Rattus norvegicus: one gene and its partners. The protein of the gene in region 3 purifies or fractionates together with the protein of the main gene of each other region. This does not show direct contact. Links are inferred from orthologs where the notes say so. Each region holds a gene or a part of one and is shown on either strand. Other genes may lie near its edges.

Region 1 (7,666 bases), on a different chromosome or scaffold from region 3:
GCAGTCAGTTAAGGTGCTTCTGACCAAGTCCGAAGTCAAGACTGACAGAGGAAGGAAACAAGCAACTCCCAACTCAGGATGTACGGACTCCCACAGGTGCCACAGCACACAAACTACAACACATACCCAAACATAAAACAAATTTTTCCCTAAAAAAAAAAAAAGCCAACCCTTGTCTCCTTGTCTGAATCACACCTGTAGGCCAAACTAACCCTACTTGGGGCTAAGAAGCTGTGCACACTGACCTGCTTCAGGCACGCCCACCTGCCTCTGCCTCCCACAACTGAGATTCTTTTTTTTTTTGTTCATTTATTATATATGAGTACACTGTTAGCTGTCTTCAGACACACCAGAAGAGGGCATCGGATCTCTTTAGAGATGGTTGTGAGCCACCATGTGGTTGCTGGGAATTGAACTCAGGACCTCTGGAAGAGTAGTCGGGTGCTCTTAACCGCTGAGCCATCTCTCCAGCCCCACAACTGAGATTCTTGATCATCATTTAATACTTTTCACTTTGCTCAAACTGCTCTGGCTGCTAACAATGTCTAACATACTATATAACACAGAATACGACTTGGTTTTAGACCAAGTCAAATGAAAAAGGTCAAGTCTCTACAATCTTACAAAGTTAAAATGAAGAAAAAGGTAAAAATGTTACTTACTCCCTAATATTAAGTTTCTACTTTCTCCATGAAAACTGTCTCCACTAGACTCTTGCTATGACAGACTTCAAAAGGATCTGATTTTTCTAAGTCATCTTGAGGAGCCAGGATTCAGTGTGTAAGAGCTCTAGGGGTTGAAAAGGTGGCTTGATGCTCTTGCAGAGGACTTGGAGGCTCACAAACATCTATCACTACAGTTTCAGGAGATCTGATGCCTTCTGGACTCCTTAAGCACTTCACACAATGGCAGAGAAGCATACATGCAGATAAAACACCCATACACATAAAATTAAAACCAAACAAGTCCAGGAGCTAGAGAGAGAGCCTAGCCATGAAAGAGAACTTGCTGCTCCTTAAAGAGAACTCACGTTTGCCAGCACCCACATGGTGGCCCACATTCCTGGAAACCCAATACTCATTTGTGGCCTCTGTGGGGTACCAGGCATACCATGCACATGTATGCATATAGGCAAAAATCAATCAATCAATTAATCTCTGTGTGTGTGTGTGTTTCTCCTCTTTCTCCTCCTCCTTTCTCCCCCTTCTCTCTCTCACACATGATCTTAAAACAAACAAAAAACCCCGTAATTCCACTTACCAATTGTACTATAAATATACAAAGATTTAAAGTTGTTAAACTTTTCAAAACACTGAACTAGTTTAGCAAATGCTGCTGTCCTCAGTTTTTATGAACAAAGACTACTACATCAAAAGCAAAGCAAACAAAAAAATTAACTGGAAAAGGAATAAAATATATACTAGCTTTTTCTCTTTACTGTTTTCATGTGTCTTACTTACCCCAGCTCCAGTCAGAACTATTATCTTTTTGCACTCTTGTAGTAACTTCACAGCATCTTCAATTGTATTAATATCTTTTCTTTTTTTCCGCTTTGGTGGTTCTGAAAGGATATTAATAACAATCTGCCACAGTGTCATATCATCCAACTCAGGTGGAGGAATTGTTTCTGGTAATAAATCTTTAAGAATTGTTCGAGGATCGGTGCCAATCATGAGGTGTTGCTGAACAAAAGTATATGGACCTATATTAAGGGAAGAAAGAGTCCCGTCATCCCCTTCTAATGGAAGTGCTCTATATTTTCAACCAATGAGGTAGCAATCGATACATTTATATGCAAAGAATATAATTTAAAGATATTTCCTGTCATATCCCTAACTAATCTGACTAATCCAGAGTTTGGGGAGGAAGTGCTTAGGTATAAGGGTTTTTTTGCTTGGTTAGTTGGTTTGGTTTGAGACAGGGTTTCTCTGCATAGCCCTGGCTGTCCTGGAACTTGCTCTGTAGATCGGGCTGGCCTAGAATTCAAGAGATTCTCCTGCCTCTGCTTCCTGAGTGCAGAGATTAAAAAGGTGCATGCCACCACTACCTGGACTGTCTAGGTATTTTGACTAAGCTTAGATGTTTTAAGTATTTTAAAGGTTAGGGGGACTTGGTGAGCTCAGGGATTAGCATACAGGAAGCCAAGAAAAAAAGAATCTTACCAATACCTTTGCAATTAAATCTAAATGGTAAAGTGGGTACAAAAGCAGCTGTGGGGGTGGTACCAAATAACTGTAATCCCCAGCATCTGTACACAAGCTCAGATATTCAAGGCCAATAAGTGCTGGCTACACATGTCAATGAGTTCAAGCCAGGCTAGGCTATAAGTGATCCTTTCTCAACAGGCAAGCAGACAACAGCCACAAACAAACAACCCCAAAGACTGGTACATGAAAGTATACAAGAAAAAAGACGGGAGGACTATCCTTTGCCACTGACAAAGGGACATGGTACAGCACACCTATAATCCCAGCACTCTGGGCTGCTGATAAAGTTAGGAATATCAGCTCAATGTCATCCTTTCATCCTAGACTCCATGAGTTTAAAGCCATTTTTACATGAAAATGTCAAAGAAATCAAGAAAGGAGAGAAAGAGAAGAAAAAGTGAAAAAGAGCCTTGGTACACTCCAAAGGCTGCTGCAAAAAAAAACAGCAGGGCAACTGAACTAGCCTGGGCTATAATAAAATACCTTGTCTCCGGAAGGAGGGAAGGAGGGAAGAAGGGAGGGAAGGAGGGAGGGAAAGAGGGAGGGAAGGAAGGAAGGAAGTAAGGAAGGAAGGAAGGAAGGAAGGAAGGAAGGGTGATTGTTTCAAAGGTGCACATGCCTAAAGCATACCTATCCGTGGCCTTGGAGTCCAGTCACTAGAGCTTGCGTGTGATGCTCTGTCATCGTCATCACTTTCACAGGAATGAAAGCCATTAGTGATGATCTCATCAGCCAACAGGAGGTTGTCTGTCAAAGAGATCAAAAAGCTGCTGCTCAGACAATCCCCAGCTGCTTGCTGTCCATACCTGCAATCCCAGGTACTTTGAGGCCGGTTTGGCTTATACAGTGAGACACAAGTTTTTGAGACAAAAACAAAACCCAGAAAGGCATAGACCCACACACATCTGTAATTCCAGCAACTGGAAGGCACAGACGTTGTAAACCAGCCTGACCTTACAAAATAGTTCCAGGACCAGCCTGGGCTAAACGGGGACCCTACCTCAAAATCCAAAACGAAGGCACACAACACAAAAATAAAATCTGTGGGGCTGGAGAGATGGCTCAGTGGTAAAGAGCACCCGACTACTCTTCCAGAGGTCCTGAGTTCAATTCCCAGCAACCACATGGTGGCTCACAACCATCTCTAAAGAGATCTGATGCCCTCTTCTGGTGTGTCTGAAGACAGCTACAGTGTACTTACATATAATAAATGAATACATCTTTAAAAAAAAAAAAAATAAAATAAAATAAAATCTGTGTAGCCCAACGGACGTATGCTTTCAAAACAGGCTCTGGGTTCCAGGACCAGGACAAAGAAATACACAACTTCATGAAATGCATCAAATAGAAATTACCTCTACATGTCAGAGATAAAAATCAATCTCTAGCTGTGTCCTCACTGCCCTACAGCTCTTTCTGTAGCCCTTCAAGTAGCAATCCTCCTGCTTCAGCCTCCCCGGTGTTGGCAAATTTATGCTTTAAAGAACATGGAACATACTTTATGCATCTCGTTTCCCCTCTAACAGCTGACAAGGACTACTTACTATTCCAGTCCCTAACATGCTGTTCTGTTTTTTAATTCATGGCCAGTGTGCCATTAGATGGTCCAAACATTTAGGAGGCAACTGACAGACTCCGATAAATTCTGGACAAAGCTTTTCAAGGAAAACAGTAAGTGATGTTATATAAAAAAGGCAAAACAAAAACAAACAAACTCCCCCAAACGTTTGGAGTCAATAGGGCAAAGCCAAGCAGGTTTGTTTCAGAATTGCAAATATGTAAGAAATACTTAATCTAAAAATGTTGTGAGGACATGATTTTCGAAGAAAAAAAAGCTCACGAAAGTACTGTACAACTATCACTCTTCTATACCGAAGTGATAAATGCAATCGCAGTAAAGTAATGGTTTTAGGAATAGCTCTTTCCTTACATTTTTAAGACTGTGCCTCACGAAACAGCTTTGGTCTATAAAAAAAATTTCTAATTTCAAAAGACAGGTCCATCAGACAAAAAAAAAAAAAAAAAAAAAAAAGCAACACAGGTGTCAGTATACAAACGCAATCGCAGGTCGATCCACGGGACAGTCCCAAAGTTGCAAACCAAAGTGTGCAACAAGGAAAAACACAACTTTAATAAAGGCGCTTCGGTAAACGAAGACGAGGGAGGGAAAAACTTAACTCTAACGACAACTGCGAGAGCCTGCTGCCCCGGCGACTGCGCGCAGCAGCGCAAGGCGGCCCAAGCGAGCGGCGAGTCCGCGCGCGGCTCCGCAGTAGGGCTGGCGAGCTCGGCGGCGCGCGGCCGAGCCAGGGCCGAGCTGCGCCGCCGCCGCGGAGCCCTCGCAGCTATCAGGGCCCCGGGCAGCCTGGGACCAGGTCACAGGCGGGGACGCGGAGGGACGCGGCTGCGCGGTCCCGCGCGCGGACTCACCTCGGTAGCCGATTGCTGCCGCCGCAGCCGCCGCCGCCTCGTCTTCCTCCTCGCCCTCGTCGTCGTCGAAGTCGTCGGCGGCCCTCGGCTCCCGCCGCAAGCCGGGCCCATTGTCTCCGTCCCCGGCCGCGGCTGTCGCCGGGGCCTCCCGCTCCGCGCTCGCCGCCGCCGCCCCTGCTGCCTCCCGCCACAGCGCCGCCGGGGCCGCGGCGCTCGCCGCCTCACACCCCGCGGCAGCCGCCGCGGCCGCCGCCGCCGCGCTCGGCTCGCCCGGGCTGCGCCCGAGGCCAGGCCCGTCTCGGCGCGGCCTCTTGCGGAGCGGTTCGTCAGCGGGCTGCGACGCGGCCTCCATGGCGGCCGCCGCGGAAGGGGAGCCGCCGGCCTGAAGGGCGAGCGCCGCCTCGTCCGCCATCTTCCAACTGCCTCTCTGGCCCTCCGCCCTCGCCTCCTCTGCTCCGCTCGACGCGCGGCACTGGCGCCCCCGCGGCTCGGCTGCGGGAGATTTAAACCCCGTCACGTGACCCGCCCCTCCCCGCCCCCGCGCCGCTCCCGCCACCCACGCGGGCCGGACCACAACACGCCGGGTCACGTGGCCGGGCGTCGCCCGCGGCCTGGGCCCTTCCCGGCCCCACCCAAGGCGGCCGGGCTCTCCTCGGCGGCCTCTCCGCGCCTCCGGCCCGCGGGGGATCGCCGCGGTGGCCCAAGTTTGCGAATGGCGCCGCCAGTTCCCACCTGGGCCTCACGCGTGCACCTTGCCTGCCTGCTTTCGCCTCAAGTCGGCTTTTACCTCGGGCTTTTCCAAGCCCGGAGAGGCAGAAAGGAGCCCAAGCGGGCCGACGCCGGCCTTCCTGAGGAGAATTCCTCCACCTGCCTTACGCTTGTTTTGTGACAGCTCTTTCTCAGTTTACCCCTGCGGTCTCCTCAGGAGATTGCGCTTCCTCCCGACCTTCTTATCCAGTGCAATGGAATGCCAAAGCCAGCCCTCGGGGCCTGTGCCCTCTGGAAAGATCTGGCAGTTGAGGATCCGCCCATCTGCTCTCTGGACCCACTAGGTCCTCAGCACCTCGCTTTTAGTCACTTGTAAAATTAATCTCTTGAATCAAGTAGAGCAGCAAGAGGTCAGGAGGGAGAGTAGTTGGTTCTTAACAAACTTCTGTCAAATTGGTCAAATTGGGCCTGGCTCTTGGCACTTGAGCAGTTGATTGAACCTCTTCTAAACCCATTTTTTAATCATCTCTAAAATGACAGGACCAGGACTGAGACTGTAGCTCAGTTGTAAAGTCACACTTGCCAGACAACCCTGAAGGCAGGAGGGTAAGAAGTCGAAGGCCGTCTTCAACTACATAAGAAATTCAAAAAGGGCCAGGAATACATAAGACGTCGTGTCAGAAATGAAATTTATAAGCGATAGACCATGAGAAATCAGCTAGCCAGGTGTAAAGTAAATGACACTAACTTTAAAAATCTTAGGCACTCTTGATGGCACAAGGTCTTTAAGCCCAGCGCTCTGGAGGAGACAGGAGGTTCTCTGACTAGTTCTAGAACAGCCAAGGCTACACAAACCCTGCCTCAAAAAACAAACAAACAAACAAACAAACAAACAAACAAAAACAGTTCTAGAATTGTAGAAATGGCTCTGTAGTTATTGGCACCTGTTGCTCCTACAGAGGCCCTAGGTTTGACTCCCACCATCCACATGACAACTTCAGATCTGATATGTCTTTTGGTAAACACAGCCAAAAAGCAAAACATAAAAATTCTTTTTGTTGTTGTTTTACAAGACAAGGTTTCTCTATAGCCCTGGCTGTTCAGCCTGGGGTCGAGCTCAGAGGCCACCTGCTTCTGCTTCCTGAACTGCTGGGATTAAAGACATACACCAGCAAGCCCAGCATAAAAATACATCTTTAAATAACTTTTTTAAAAAATCCTTAGTTCCTTCACAACTCTAAGCCCCTTTGCTCTCCAGTTATGAAGAAATTCTGAGCACCTATATCCATTTGGATCACTAGGACTCAGTTGCACATGGTTCAATTACCATGGACAGGTTTCCCCAAATCTTGACTTAGAGGCAGCAGGATCGGGAAATTGAGGCCATTTTCATTACGTAGTGAATTTGAGCCCACCCCATCTCAAAACACTAGCTAGACATAGTGGCACACAACTTTTCCAACAGCACTTTTACAACAGGAGCCTGGCATAACGATATACATCCTAGCACTTGGGGCAGAAGCAGTCAAGTCTAGGCAGCCTGGTCTATATATGAAGTTCAGGTTAGCCAGGGCTACGCAGGCCCTCTCTCAAAGACTGGCACATGCAATGCTCTTTCAGAGAACCCCAATTTGGTTCCCAGCACCCATCCCAGGAGGCTCACAGCCACCTGTAACTCCAGCTCCTGACTCTTCTGACCTCCAGGGGCACTGCCCTCATGTGCACACACAACTAATAAAAATCTTTAGGCCCAGATGGATGTGGTGGCACACACTTTCAACCTTAGTGCTCAGGAGGCAGAATGGAGATCTGAGGCCAGCATAGCTTACACAGCAAGTTCTAGGCCAGACAGAACTGTATAGTAAGACCCTGTCTCAAAAACAAACAGTAATATTAATCTTTAGGTTCCACGCGGTGGCACACACGTTTATCCCAGCACTATTAAGGCAGCAGCAGGTGGATCTCTAGGAGTTTGAGGCCAGGTTGTTTTACATATTTCTAGGCTACCAAGGACTAGATAGTCAAAGACCCTGTATCAAAAATAACAAAAATGGGTACACTGACTTGTGGGGAACAGCCCACGTGATGGAAAGCACACCATAGCATCATGCATGTATTGCTCATGCACGATGTACACACACACACACACACACACACACACACACACACACAACTTAAAACCTAATTGTAGAGTCTGGAAGTGTACATTAGATCCATGTCCAAACCCCATCACTGTGTAAGCCAAATGTCATGGTTCAGCCCCATAGTCCCAGCACTCAGAAGGTTGAAGTGGGAAGCCCAAAAGTTCAAGGTTAGGACTG
Region 2 (7,726 bases), on a different chromosome or scaffold from region 3:
TCCCACTTCTTCATCTTGTTAAAAAATTCAATTAGGCTGATAATAAAAACAAATCGAGGTACTTTAATAATGCAAAGGTGACGTTATGCCAATACAAGTAAATCAAAATCATTTCACTGAATTATATCTGGACAATGACATAAAATCAAAGGGATGCCTTTGGTTAGCTTAATCTCCTACCCTTTACCTTGTCACTCCCACCTCCTGACCCACTCTACTCAGGTTTGGATTCCGTGTGTGTGTGTGTGTGTGTGTGTGTGTGTGTGTGTGTGTGTGTGTGTGTGTGTTCATGTAGCTGACATGTGGCAATGCACACAGAAGACTGAGATTGATGCCTGGTGCCTTCCTCATGACTGTGTCACTTGGATTTTTCTGCTGGGTGTGACAGGAGCTTTTACTGAGTCATCTCAATGACCCTGCCTTAGATCTTTTAAATATTAGAACTCCGATGCTGGAGAGATGGCTCACCACACTTAAGAATATTTGCTGTTGGGTTGGGGATTTAGCTCAGTGGTAGAGCGCTTGCCTAGCAAGCACAAGGCCCTGGGTTCGGTCCCCAGCTCCGAAAAAAAAAAAAAAGAAAAGAAAAAGAAAAAGAAAAAAAAGAGTATTTGCTGTTTTCACAGAGGACCTGGGTTCAATCCTAGCAACCACAAGGTCACATATGACCATCTTTTACTACAGTCCCAGGGGATCTAATGTCTTCTTGGACACCAAACATACACATGGTACCATATACATACATGCAGGCAAAATGCTTGTACACATGAAATAATAAAATGAACCCCCAAAAATTTAAAACAATACTAAAGTTAGAATAGAAACAGACAAAATTTTAATGTGAACATCTTCCTAAACTAGTTCTCTGCCCCTCCCAAATGTAACCCCAATCTTTTGTTTGCTTTTACATTTTATGTAAAATGTATCACACTACAAGTAGCATTTTGCAACTTAGTTTTCATTTAATGTTTCTGAGGCTCATTAATGTTAATACATGGAAATATCTAACAAGTTTAATTACTAAAACAATTCCTTCCTATGAACATTCAATAACTTTCTGCATTCACTCAATGAACAGAGACCGATTACTTCGAATTTTCCTTTAATAAAATAGTGCAGGTCTGGAGAGGGGCTCAGAGGCTAAGAACATTTGTTGCTCTTGGCAGAGGACTGAGGTTCTGTTCCAGCAGCCACACCGCAGCTCACAACCATCTGTAACTCCAGTTCCAGGAGATCCAATGCCTTCTGACCTCCACAGGCACCGGAACACATGTGGTACACACATATACATGCAAACATGCATACACATAAAAAACCATGAATTTTTGAATGTTGCCATAAGCATCTTGGTATGCACGATGTGTGTAGGAGTTTCTTTAGGATCAGAGAAGACGCAGGTCCAATTTTACTACACATTTCACATGCATTAAAACATAAGTTCTGGGCTGGAGAGATGGCTCAGCGGTTAAGAGGACCCGACTACTCTTCCAGAGGTCCTGAGTTCAATTCCCAGCAACCACATGGTGGCTCACAACCATCTGTAAAGAGATCTGATGCCCTCTTCTGGTGTGTCTGAAGACAGCTACAGTGTACTTATATATAATAAATGAATAAATCTTAAAAAAAATAAGTTCTATGCAGAATACCTAATAATTTATATTTATTTACCTTTTAAATCCATGGTATCTTCAAAAGCTTCTCGGTCTCTTTATTTAAACTTAAAGCAATATTAGGCAATAAGTTATAACCTTTAATGCATTACAACACGAATACACTCATGTTCGTACACTGCGATCCTGACTCCGAAATGGTAAAGGAAACCACAACTCAGTTTCTACACTCAGCTGTGTACATGTTAGATGCTCAGAAAATAGTAAACAGAGAGAATTTCCATTATCAGTGTGGTGTCTAAGCTTTCTTAATTTTAGCAGCATCCTACTTTTCAAGCTCTAACATAATTACCTTTGCTCAGAACATCGAAGGATTCTAGTTAAAGACACATAGTTTCCTTCAGCAGTCCCTTTGCTCACAGTAGGAACAGATTTTCTGCAAGCCACATATAAGGCACATGCTAACCAATGGAGATCATTTCCCTGAAAGAGAAAAAAGAGTTTTAGCTAATGACTTCCGTGTGCTTCAATGGAAAACTTCGTGCATTCATATCGAAAGTGATATTTCTATGACGGCCCTTGCCCACGGCCTCTTCTAGTATGTGACATTGACATTCGTCCATGCATGGTACTGTCTCTGTTCCTTTACCTTGAAGCAGGGCAGAGTCTTATGCCCCTGTACATGATGGTCTTTATTAATACCACAGGTAAAAGTGATGCTATACAATCTCAAAGGTCACAGAAGGGAATGCTGATACCGACTGCCTTCATCTTTGAGGATGTCATAAACCAGCATACAAAGCGTGTGCCTCCCTTCAACTGACATGCTGAGAGAGAATATGGCAGTGGCCAGTTCTACACAGAGAGATGCCCAAGGAACCCTACCATACTGACACCCTTGTGACACAGTGCTTCTGGGTGAGACAACAGTCATTTTGATGCAGACAACATAGCACCTCCTTTGCACTGCCTGAATTCCCAAACTGTAGCATGATATCTACCCCAGCTTTCAGCAAGGATGTTAGGATCTAGGCTCAGGTCCACATGCTTGCATGGTATGTCACCCATCAAGTCCTCTCTCCTCCACTTAAGCACAGCTCTGAGCAATGGTTTCATACGGTGTTTGGTTTGGAGGACAGTTTTGGTTTTTGGTTTTTGGTTTTGGTACTGATGGGTATTAGAACTCAAGGCCTTACCACCAGACACAGTCCGCTACAGCACACCCTCAACCCCATGTTGTCACGATTTCCCCAATTATATGATTTCAAGGGAAACTGAGCTTTTCAACTACTGAGTTTTATTTCCATCAAGATCTGTTAGGAAGAATACAGGTAAGCAGTTAAATTGTCATCTTTGTTCTAAAAAAGGGGGGGGGGGCTTAAGGGAGATGAGAGAACCTATAACTAAATCATCCCCTGAAAAGGAAAAAAAAAAGTCTTATACATGAGGATGCTACAATGCAAGAGATAGGGGCTCAGGAAATACTCCAAAGTGAACAGATATTCATGCCAGTATAAGGTTGTTCGAGATGCACTGTGATAAACACCACAGCTAAAAGCAACTTGGGGACGAAAGGTTTATTTAGTTTACAGGTTACAGTCAGGAACTCCAGGCAGGAACCTGGAGGCAAGAGCTGAACTACGCAATGCTGCCTTCTGTGTACAGCCCAGGACCATGAGGGGTAGCATAGCCCACAGTGGGCGACATCACTTAGCAACTAAGAACATGGCCACAGGCATGCCCGCTGTCAATCTGAGGGAGACGATTCCTCAGTGAGGTCTCCCTCTTCCCAAGTGTGTCAAATTGACAACTGAAGTTATCACAAGGGTAAACTGGGCTAAGAATCAAGATTAAAACCTCACTAAACAAGCCAAATTAAAAAAAAATAAATAATAAACAAACAAATAAATGGAAAGCCTTGGCCAAACAAGAACTAGTGAATATGTTCTCAAAAATAATTTACTAATCCAGCAGGTTGAGCAAGTAAAGGTGCTAGGTGACAAACTGCAGATCTGATGGACCCCCCAGGATCCACCGGGGACACACACACACACACACACACACACACACACACACACACATTTACTAGGCATCTGTTAAATGTCAGTTGCATATGCGACACCAGGCTTCATATTGACTTCGTTTCTGTGAATTGAAGCCTCTGCTATGTTATAGTGCTTATTCTTGCTAATTTACAGTGCCCTCTCTAAGGTGAAGTAAGAGTTCGTTTGGGGGTCTCTATGTCCTTCAAGCCCGAAATTCCCCTCTTTGCCTGGTTCCAGGGAACACTAAGTCAGGAGGAAGGCGACAGCCTCTTCAGCCAGACGGCTTCAGTATATGCAATTATCTGCACGCATACACACATTGCTTTAGTTAAGCTTTAGGTCAGCACTTTGAGGTGGGCACAAATAACAAAACTGCTTACACAACCAAACTGAGTTTCACTGTGGTTGCAAACTTGCCCAGAGTCACTCAGATCTGGGTCTGAAGATGTCCTATTTCTTTTTTTTGTGGGTGTTAACAAATGGAGAGAGGGAAATTCAATGTGTGACGGTTTTTAAAAAATAGAAATAAACCAACTCAGAAGAACGGCACAAGTCCAGCCATCGTATTATAGTTAAATAACATCTTGTTTAGCCTTCGGATCGGGGGCCTCTTTGCCCCTCTCTTTCAGAAGCTATATATAAAAGCAAAGGGCCATCCGCACAGGCAGCGATAAACAATCCGGACTTCCGTGTCACTTCCCATTGGCCCACACAGGGGAGGTGCCTGCAGAGTTGACAGACACTGGCCCAAAGAGCCATTTTCGTCAACTGCAAGCCCCGTCCCAAGAACGGAACATAACAAGCCTACACCTGGATGACAGCCAAAAAGAGTGCCCGTGCTCAGCAACAAATGTTGTGTGTCTACACCCGCTTTTCATTGCCGGGGTTGGGGGGCAACAATCCTAAGCCGTTCTCACACGGAAGCAAGCCGGAAACTTAATGCGTCTCCTAAGACGGCTGCACAGCAATGGTGCGGTGCAAACGACCAAGTGACCCCAGAGCCACCCCGAGTCCCCGACTTCCGCGGAGGATCTGAGCACGCACCTCCAGCGTGTAGCTCTCGCTCATGCTGCGGTAGCTGCTCCAGGCCTCGGCGCGTGCCGCCTCGTCCATGTTAAGGCGGCTGCACAGCTCTTCGAACCGCTGTTGGATCTGATGGCTTGGGGACCCTGCGGGCTGCGCCCGGTCCGCGGTGTCGCCATCCTCCTCCTCTTCCTCTGAGCTGGCTGCAGCAGCAGGAGGGGGAGGTGACGACTGGTTGCCTCCAGATGCCATGGCACACCCGGAGGCCGCGGCTCTTCAGATGAGCTTAGGGCCCGGGCCCACAGCCATTCAAACCGCGAAGCGCCGGCCCGTCAGCAGCCCGTAATGCTACTGTGCCGCCCCCAGAGTTTCTAGGTCCCATGTGGGCACCCGTAGGTCTGAGCATGGCCTGCTGGGAAATGTAGTCTTGGCCGGGCTATCAGGGGAACCAAAAGTCATGGAAGAAGAAAGCAAAAATGCGCTGTTCTTCATTTAGGAGCGAGTGAACGCGCCCTCTCCCATTTTTTTTAAAGCCTCTCTCAATAGTGAGGCCATTCATAAGGTTCTTTTGAAGAGAAAAGGACCAAAAAATATCGACAGGAGAAGCTTTAGTATACAAGCTCTTTACAACACTTCCTCCTCCTAGAGGAGGAAGCTAAAAGGTCCAAAATAAAGATAATAGTTTGGCTGCCTTTTCTAGTTCACGTTACTGTTGCTGAGATAAACACTGACTGTAACCAGCTCGGAGGGGAAAGGACTTATTTCATATTAGTCTTTACAGTCCATCATTGAGGGAGGCTAACACAGGACGCTGCTTACTGGATAGTTCCCTCTTGCTTGATCAGCTACTTTCCTAATAAAACCCCTAGCCTCCACCTCCGCGGCTGCCCACCTGCCTAGGCAAGACCCACAGACCAACCCAACAGAGAGGATTCCTCAAGTGAGACTCCTATGTCAATACTATCTATGGCCAAGGTATAGTGAGCTAAGATTGATCTCACTAACCAAACTAAAGCAAAACAAAGAAACCCTCAACCAAACAATCATGAATGCGTTTTCAAGAATAACTGAAGATTTATATTAGCCATCATATAACCGCTCCTAGGTGAGGCAGAGGGTAAAGTTTACTATAGATAAAAGGAAGAGTGCAGAGCAGGAATGTTTAGGTGAGTCCACAGAGGACAAGACCCTGAGCCACATGACGGGGGAAGGGGATGAGAGGGGGAGGAGAGGGGAGAGAGGGGAGAGAGGAGAGAGAGGGGAGAGAGGGGAGAGAGGGGAGAGAGGGGAGAGAGGGGAGAGAGGGGAATCCGGTGCAGTAGTCAGGAGGCCCGAAGGAACAAAGAGCTAGAAACTAAAATGTCTGGATGATATAGGGAAAAGCAGGAGGCTGGCAAGGGTAACAGGTGGAGGTTGAGGGTTACAGGGAGAACCCAGCAGCCAGGTTCTCTTTGAGATGTTAGTCACCTCAGCCATTTGTCCCAGGTCTGAAATTTAACAGCACCCAAGGGGCTCAGCATCAGTGTTTGTGACTTGAGGTGTTAAAGCTACTGAATCTCTAACTAAGCTTAGATGTGAGGTGAATCCCTAAGAATTTGTTCTTGGAAAAGAAACTTTATTGCATGGGCTTGCCGGTGGAGAAGAGAATCTAGCAGAGATGAGCACATTTGATTGACAAGGGCTGGGGAGATTCTCGGTGGCAAAACATCTCTCACCAGAGATCAACCCTTATAAGTCACATATGTGTGTGCATGCATGTGTGTGTGCGTGTGCGTGTGTGTGTGTGTGTGTGTGTGTGTGTAGGGAGGGTGTTTTTGTTTGTTTGTTTGTTTGTTTTTTTCCTGAGCTGGGGACCGAACCCCAACCCCTAGGGAGGGTGTTAGAAACCAGAAATCGTGGGTTGGCTTGTAACCTCAGCAGTGGCTTCCATATAAGCTGGTGGAGTCCTGGGGCAAGTCTCACTTGCTGGACAGTGAGAGACAGGATGTGAAAAAGAGGGGGGCCTGGGAGGTAACACGAGGCTATTCTATGGTCTCCAAACACATGTGCACAGACTTAAATATGTACACCAATGTATTCGAACACAGGCACAGGTGCACAAACAATACTGGTCAAAAGGATACTTACGTCTAGGTCACAAGGACATTGGATTTAAGTCATTATCCATTAGCTATTTCAACAATTTTATGAGCTGGAGAGACAGCTCCGTGGTTAAGGGCACTGGCTGCTCTTCCCAAAGACCTGAGTTTGAATCCAGCCAGCCATGTCACATGCACAGCCACCTGGAACCCCAGCCTCAAGGGTATTTATGCCTTCTTCTAGCCTCTGTGGCACCTGCACTAAATGTCCGCTTTCTGTCAGAATTAGCTATCCTGCCTCATGACTTTCAAATAATTACAGGATTTTACAGTTGTGCATATTGATATATATTAATTCCACCTAACAAGTATGATTCCTCCGTGCACGTGTATAGTCTGATCTTATTTACTTCCCAGAGTGCTCTAGTTCTCCTCTTCCCGTGTTCCTGCCAGCCTCTTCTCTCTCTCATGCATTTATTTATGTCATGACCCAGTGAGTTTCATTCGGGCTTTTCATAGGAGCAGGGGAGAGGGGCTATTTACAGGGACAGGAGAAACTTAGCAGTGGCTAAGCCATAGAAGAAAATGACCTTGGGGAGAGTAGTCTTGTGAACCCCTCACTCCTAGCAACCTTCACTGAAGGACCACGACTCCCCCGAAGGCTGCCTTCTGGTGAGCAGACCTATGGAGTAAGATGGCTCCTAGGCAGATTTTCCCAGGTGTTTGGGCTGCCTTAGTTCCCACAGCCCCTGCTCTTGCTGCTTCTTGCTCTCTGCCTTCCGCCCCTTCTTACAACCAACCCACTGGCACACTTGGTATAGTCTAGACTACAGGCCGTTAAGCTCCAGGTGACTTTCCCGCAGAAATAATGATCATTACTGTCCCTGCTCACACTTGTCTCCTGCACCAAGGCCCTCTTAGTCTGCGAGCAATGTCACAGTCTGACCTTTAACCTCCCGTGATCGCCTCC
Region 3 (7,584 bases):
CACCACAACCCTCCACTTTACAACCTACATAGAAGACCACAGAGAAGTGGCAGAGCCACAATCCCTACCCAGGTCTTCGAGAAAGACCCTGAGCTGCTAACCTCCATGCCCTCTAACCTAAGTTCTAACTTCACAGTGACGGGAAGGACCCCGAAATCCCACAGATAGCTCAAAACACACTAACCGGACCAGACTTGCTATCCTTCACCAGTCACGGGCCTTTCTCAACTAAACCCTCTCAACCTGACCCACCACCTGTCACGTTCTTTTGCCAAGAATTCTACCCACAGCCATTATCACCCTCCCACCGGACAGGACAGCTGTCCCCATGCTGGTCTCCCTCTACATCACTCTGCCTCAGTAAAGCCTTCCAACAGCACTCCTCACATGAACTGTGGGGATGAGCTTCTCCCAAGCCCTGCTCTAACGCTATTCTATGCCCTCTCCACACACCTGAAGCTGGCTCCTGCACGATTGCTTAAGAGAGCAATTGCTGTCCTCTCTCGGTACTGCCTCAAACCTGGCCTTTTCCTCCATCCAATACAACTTCTACAGATGTGTCTGTTGTCCCTGCCCACTGCCTCCACCGGAGAAAGGTCATTCATTGGACACTGGACCAATAAACCCCTGCATCAGTGTCTGCCACAGGCCTCAGTGTCCGCCAAGACTCCCCACCATCATCCTGCCACCAACTCCTGGAAGCCAAGGAAAAGGACAGCACATGAGAGTGAGACGATGAGAAAAAGGCAGACACTGCCTCTGCTGTCTGTGCGAGAGCAGGGCGGTGACTAAATCCCAAACATTTCCTCAGCAAACTTTTGTCTGACTGTAGGAGGTATGGCAGTCTCCACCTTGGAAGACCTGTAGCCAGGAAGAAATCCAGGTATATGCACCCCAATGGGCTGACACAGCCCCAGATGCCCTTGCCCATCTCCAATGTCATCCTTAAAGTAGGGCTCAGATTGATGGTGTTTCTGTCACTCATCTTTAGACAACACTGAGATCCTAAAAACCACAGGTGAAGATATTGATAACTGAGTGCTTCAAACACCCATCCACAAAGGCTGTATGTAGCCCCTGGAACAGCATGTGGTCTCAGTAACAGACCCAGACAGGTCCAGGCCAGCACAGAATGCTCTCACAGACACACAAGGAAACCACTCTGACAGGCTAATACATATATGGTCCCTTCCTGGACTAAAAGCTCAGGAGCTGCTCCAGTTCAGTTTCTGACAGAGTGTGTTTCAGAAACAGGCGCGCTTCTGTGGGAGAGCCAGGGCAGACTGTTACCTCCTCTGGGCAATGTGAATGACGTACTGTTTGAACATGGATCAGGCACAGGAAAACCTTGAACTCCTGATCCTTATACCTCTACTTCTTAAGTGCTGGAATTATAAAGGTGCCATCACACGTGGCTCACAGCAACTTTTAGAACTATTAAAAACAAAAGTTCTGAAGACTGGGGACTGGCAGAGTACTTATTTGGTGTGCATTCCATTCTGGGTCCAATCCCCAACAGCAGTTAAGTGCTCACAGTGACCAGCAAGAGATTCATATAATAGAGTAACAGTGTCACACCTAAACCAAGAGCCCTGAAGAAGAGCTAGCTTTCTACTCTAAGCCTGTCTTTTTTTTTTTTTTTTTTTTTTTTTCCGGAGCTGGGGACCAAACCCAGGGCCTTGTGCTTGCTAGGCAAGCGCTCTACCACTGAGCTAAATCCCCAACCCCAAGCCTGTCTTTTACAGACTTAATGTATGGTACTACATACTGTCCACAGTAAACAAGTACTACATTATAATGGAAACATCAGCTTCTTGCTGTTACCATTTTGAAACAGGGTCTTTGTAGTGCAGGCTGGCTTTGAACTCAAGACTCAGTATCCTCATTCTTGCCTGCTTGGATTATAAGATGTCAGTTAACCAAAATAGGCTGTTGGTGTTTTAATTTATTTTTATTTAACTAATTTGCTTTTTAAATTGTTTTCTTTTTAAAAAGAACTTTGTGTCCGTATGACTATATATGAACATGGGTACCCAAGGACAGGAGAAGACAATATCAAACCCCTCGAAACTGGAGTTGGTCATCTGTGACCTCAGTGTTGGGCTGTGATCAAACTTAAGTTGTCATATAGAATAGCAAGTGCTTTCAATGGCTAAACCATCTCTCCAGACCAACTTCCTTTAAGGTACAGTTTCACTCTAGGTAACCCTGGCTGGCCTTGAACATGTGGATTCTCCTGTCTCTGCTTCTCCCTAGTCAATACACCCCGATAGGATCTATAAACACACACACACACACACACACACACACACACACACACACAGACAAGGTAAAGGTAGGTAGGGCAGGAAGAATGTCTGAATTGCAGAGGTGTAGAGAGGTACACAGGAAGCACCCAGCAAGTGCTCACTGGGTGGAAGCCAAGCCTGTAGCTTATTTCAAGGACTGCCCCCCCACCCCAAATTCCAGAGCAAAGTCAGTAGAGGCCAAAATCCAGATTTGCATTCCTGGCCTTTGGCTCCAGGATGGTGTCAACCTCTCCCACAGAAAATGTTTGCTGGGCCTTAAGTACCGTGGGGGAAGGGGATCCTTAAGTACCTCTGCACCTAGCACATAATGGGGACTCACGAACTCCACAACTTGAGTGAATGCAATGTTTAGTCAAATGTAGAATATCTGCCCAGGGCCCAACCTTCTACCTACTGGTACAGGCCCGTGGAGTGGAGGGAAGGCAAGCCAGCTGACCCACCAAATACTGGCCGGCCTCCTCAGTGGGAGGAAAGGGCTTTAACAATCAGGAAATACCACTCCCTAGAAGAATGATTAAGAAGTTCCATCATTTGTGGGCTTCAGCCTCCTCATCTATGGAAGGATGAAAAAGTAAGGCTGTCCACAGGGTTAAGTGGGTAAAGTGCTTAGCACAGAGCCTGGCACCCAAAACGTCCTCAAAACAATGGTGGTTGCTATTGTTATTGTTATTAGCATCTTGGTGATTCCGGAAGGAAGGCAGCACTGGGCACTGGGCCAAAGGGGGTATGGGCCTTCTCTAAGATGCCTCTGGGACCAGCTGCCACCCGCACCCCCACCAGGAGTTGAACAGTTTCTACTCCGGTATTGGGTCTGGCCCCTCCCGCTTGCTCCAAGCCCCCTGCTGTGAACACCTCCTGCTTGCTCCACCCCTACAATAAAGTTGGTGGCCCACTGGCTGAGCTGGCCCCTGCTTAGATCCAAGTTCCACTCTCCACTTCCGCTGCCTTTTCTAGGCCCCCAGCCTAAACTGGTCTTGCTACTTAGGATCAGGAAAAGACTTTATCCAGGGATCTCCCTCCCACGTCTTCTCTCTCCAGGAACTGGAGGCCCCTTCTCAGGGGCCCAGCCCACCCAGTCTTCCAGAGTCTCAGGGGTCTGTCCGCCTGATTAATAAAGTTCCATGGCAACCAGGGGCTGGAAGGGTGGCAGATGGAAGGACAGGCAGAGGAAGGGTTGCAGCAGCTGGCCCAGCACCCCGCCCCTGCAGAGAAGGCCTCCCAATCAAGAGGCCTATCCCCAGAGGCCTGGAAGGCCAGGCCTGCACCTGGCAGAGCCACGAAGGAGGGTCTCTCGAGGATGTCTCCAACAGTCACCCTCTTTCATCTCCATCAAGCAACTGTGCGCACTAACTAGCCATAGGTTCTGCAGCAAGCCAGCCGCCATCAGTTCAAATACCAGCCCCACCATCTGCAGCTGCGTGAAGCACTTCCCTGTCTCTGGGCCTCAGTTCCTCCCTCTGGCAGATGGGCACGTGACAACACCCAGCTCACAACAGAGTTGAGAATTTTGGCCGACTTCAAGTGTGCCAAAGCCTGGGCGTGCAATAAGCAAGCACCAGCTGAATACACGTGAGCCATTATCATTAATAAACCTGCCGCTCTGGTGAAGACGCTGAGGCCCAGAGCAAGGCGCAGCAAACAGACAGGGCAAGGCAGTCAGTCAGCGCGCGCCCCGGGGCGGAGCCCCGAGGCCCAGCCCAGACTCCGCACCGCCCAGCGCTGCAGCCCGCCCCTCCCCCGCCCGCGCCTAGGGTCCGTACCGGCGGGCGGCCGAGAGCCGGGCGCGGTGCACTAGGCGCGGGTCGGGGCGCCTGCGGCGTTGCGAAGAGCAGCACGTCAGGATCTCGAGGGCCAGCGGGCGGCGCGGCGGGGCCGGTGGGGACCTGCGGGGCGCCGACATCGGGCGCGGTGGAGATGATGACGATCTGCGAGGAGTCGAGCAGCCGCAGCGCGCCCGCCCCGAGCAGGGCCTCCAGCGCCGGCGCGTGCTGGCCGCCCGCGGGGGCTACGGCCATGGCACTCACGGCCCGCGTGGCCCGGGAGGCAGGCGGCGGCGGCGGCGCGGGCCCATGACGGCAGGCCGCGGCGAGGGCTCGATCCCGCTCCGCCCCGGCCGCCGCTGCCTGCAAAGTCCGGGCCACTTTTACGCGCCAAATCCTTTTTGCCGCGAAAGAGCCACGCGCCGCCGAACGCCTCCTCCATTGGCCTGCGTGGCTGTGACGAAGTCGGCTTCGGTAGCAGACATTGGTTGCAGCGTGCGGGGCAGGCGACGGAGGGTGGGACCAGGGGCGGGGTGGCCAATCGCGGGGCGGGGCGCGCGCAGGCTTTGTCCGGGCGGTGCCGGGCGCCTTCTCCCTTCTGCCTCTCGCTGTGCCCTGCAGGGGGCGTGGGCAATGGACCCCGCCCCCTTCACCGCCCACTCGATGGGTGGCGGGGTCTGGCGAAGGCAACAAACTTCGTACTTGGTTCTGCACGTCCCGCAGTCTCCACATGCCGCATGAGCCCCTAAACTCTCAACCTGTGGTCTCCACCCCCTCAGTTTACAGTCCAGAAACTGCTTCTTCTGCACGCTCAGGCTCACCTCCAAAGTTCACTTCAGCCACATCTCCGGTCTTAAGACCCACTTATTCCATTAGTTCACATCATGGGTTCTTCCCTGTCACCCAGAAGCCAAGCCCAAGAGGGGTGCCAGGAAATGAGTAGGGATGTGTGGCTTTGATCTCAGTCTCATTTTACTGAAATTCCTTTAGTAGCCAACGCCCAGTTATCGTTCATTCGTTTGGTCAGTCCACAATGGCACCTGTCTTTAATCCCAGCACTTGGGAGGCAGAGGCGGGCGGATTTTCCAAGTTCAGGCCATTCAGGACTACACAGTGAGACCCTGTCTCAAAAAAATCACAAACGCCTGAGAGCCTGTTTATTGTCCCATACTCAACCCAGACCTTGACTCCTGACTTAGTGAAAAGGAAAAAAGGGAACCGAGAGGCAGCAGATGCTTACAATGTGAAGAGATTGAACTAAGTAACTCCACGTTAGGCCTCACAGAGGGCGGTGCAGGGGTGGGGAGGGTGCATATGGAGGGATCCTTTAATCCTGAGGTCCTCCATCAGCATTTCTGATTGCTCAGGTCAGCCCATCTGATCAGCATTGTGGTCCTCTCTGACAGGCATCTTGCCAATACTGGGAATCGAAACACGAAAGGTTTAACAAGACCTACATACTTCCTGCCCTTGCGGGTGGGGATGACCACAAGAAGAGTAGCTGACAGGGGCTGGGGATTTAGCTCAGTGGTAGAGCCCTTACCTAGGAAGCTCAAGGCCCTGGGTTCGGTCCCCAGCTCCGGAAAAAAAAAAAAAAAAAAAAAAAAACCAAAAAAAAAAAAAAAAAGAAAAGAGTAGCTGACAATATTCAAGTCCCCAAGTCCAGTGTAGGCTACAAGGAGCTCTCAAGCCCGGGTACTTTCACTATCACCTCATACTACTTTATCTTCCACGCATCGGTTAACTTTGAACCACCCAACCTTGGTCAATTTAGAATCAATCCCAGGCCGCCCCCGCCCCCCTTTTTTTTTGTTTTTTTTGGGGGGGGTAGTTTGTTTCTTTGTTTTTTCGAGGCATGGTCTCATTGTCTGGCTCTGGCTGTCCTGGAACACGCTTAAGTATGCCTGCTTCTGCCTCCCAAGTCTGGGATTGAACGAGTTAGCCATTATGCTTGGTTTATTCACACACACACACCTTTTTTTTTTTTTAAGATAATAGAATCTTGCTATGTAGTAGCTCAAACTGAATCAATGTAACCTTCCTGCATGGCCTCCTGAGTGCTAAGACTGCATGTTTGGATCACTATCCCCAGTTCCGGTTTAGAGTCTTTTGGTCAAGATTGGAAGAGATTAAGTCCCAGGACATGGACTGTGATACAGCAAGAATAAATAAATAGGGGCTGGAGAGATGGCTCAGTGGTTAAGCGCACTGACTGCTCTTCCAGAGGTCCTGAGTTCAAATCCCAGCAACCACGTGGTGGCTCACAACCATCTGTAACGGATTCTGGTGTATCTGAAGACAACTGCAGTGTACTCATATACATTAAATAAATAAAATATTTTTTAAAAAGAAGAAGAAGGGGTTGGGGATTTAGCTCAGTGGGGACCTTGGGTTCGGTCCCCAGTTCCGAAAAAAATAAAATAAATAAAATAAAAAGAAGAAGAAATAAATAAAAATGTAAACAAAGAAACACAAGGAACACTTATGCCCATCCCAGATAATGTGTTCATCTTTGAAAACAAATTGGTATACCTTTACAATGAAAATGTGGAGTGGAGCCGAAATTTACAATTCCTACAGCTGGGTATAGTTGCACACACCTGCAACCCCAGCAGGTCAGGTAGATAGAGGAAGTCCAGGAGAGTGCTAGGTCATCCTTGGCCATATAGGCAGTCAGGGCACATGAGATCTTGTTATAAACCAAGCAAACTGCAACTCCCAAGGATGCTTTTCAGTTCAGTTTTGTGTTTAAAAAAATAAAATGGGCACCTAGATCTTGCCTTGGCTGTCTCAAGTTTGCATGAGGATAGAAGCATAGGGACTGGAAAGTGTTCTGTAGACTCTGTGGTGATTTGGAAAGCAGCGAGAGTGTCTTTCCTTCCCCCACTCATGAACAGTTTGTGAAATTACTCATTGCAAATCCTGGAATGTGTCAGAACAGGGAAGAACCACAGAGAGCACATGAGCCTCTCGCTGTACAGATGGGAAAAGGAGGCCCATTCAGGGCTGGTGCCTGCAAATTCAGTGACAGAATGTGGCCCACACTAGGTCCCCTGACCTGGGTCTGCCTGTGCCCGTGCCTGTGCTGCCCACCCTCCACAGCACAGTAGAGAAGCCGAAGGCTAACCTTCAGGGTAACCAAGCCTGACACTGACACTACGGGAGAATGAGAGAGGTTGGCACATTCTCATGCCAGATGTAGGGTTTGCTGTCCTCCGGCTCTCCTAAGGGACCCATTAACAAGGACACTCGCTTTCGTAAAGCCTTCTGTTACTCCATAGTCATTCAACAAACACTTACTGAGCATCTGTTATGTATTGAGGATCGAGATGGTTGCTGGAGGGGGAAACATAATACTATCTCATTTTATAACGATTGAACTGAGTTTTCCAAGTAGGTTAAAAGGCTACGTTACCCAGAGTTGGAGACACCAAGGCCAAGGGCTTTGCAAAGCCTTACCCTTCCAAAATATTCAACTTCATATCCTATAAATGCTTACTGTCACAGGCATTCAG

Evidence for each region.
Region 1: the proteins of E2f1 (region 3) and Sirt1 purify together in Homo sapiens (affinity purification with western blotting; 3 studies listed by BioGRID and IntAct, with this or other methods). This does not show direct contact. The link is inferred for Rattus norvegicus from reciprocal best matches to the Homo sapiens genes E2F1 and SIRT1.
Region 2: the proteins of E2f1 (region 3) and Rbl2 purify together in Homo sapiens (affinity purification with western blotting; 3 studies listed by BioGRID and IntAct, with this or other methods). This does not show direct contact. The link is inferred for Rattus norvegicus from reciprocal best matches to the Homo sapiens genes E2F1 and RBL2.

What each region holds. Positions count from the first base shown.
Region 1 is NC_086038.1:25,303,398-25,311,063, reverse strand, and holds the start of Sirt1 (NAD-dependent protein deacetylase sirtuin-1), read right to left. Parts: upstream 5,112-7,666; 5' UTR 5,050-5,111; coding exon 4,638-5,049; intron 2,955-4,637; coding exon 2,838-2,954; intron 1,703-2,837; coding exon 1,461-1,702; intron 1-1,460. UniProt on the Homo sapiens protein: NAD-dependent protein deacetylase that links transcriptional regulation directly to intracellular energetics and participates in the coordination of several separated cellular functions such as cell cycle, response to DNA damage, metabolism, apoptosis and autophagy.
Region 2 is NC_086037.1:32,091,416-32,099,141, forward strand, and holds the start of Rbl2 (retinoblastoma-like protein 2), read right to left. Parts: upstream 4,997-7,726; 5' UTR 4,931-4,996; coding exon 4,700-4,930; intron 2,094-4,699; coding exon 1,963-2,093; intron 37-1,962; coding exon 1-36. UniProt on the Homo sapiens protein: Key regulator of entry into cell division. Directly involved in heterochromatin formation by maintaining overall chromatin structure and, in particular, that of constitutive heterochromatin by stabilizing histone methylation.
Region 3 is NC_086021.1:163,531,087-163,538,670, forward strand, and holds the start of E2f1 (transcription factor E2F1), read right to left. Parts: upstream 4,478-7,584; 5' UTR 4,325-4,477; coding exon 4,070-4,324; intron 1-4,069. UniProt on the Homo sapiens protein: Transcription activator that binds DNA cooperatively with DP proteins through the E2 recognition site, 5'-TTTC[CG]CGC-3' found in the promoter region of a number of genes whose products are involved in cell cycle regulation or in DNA replication.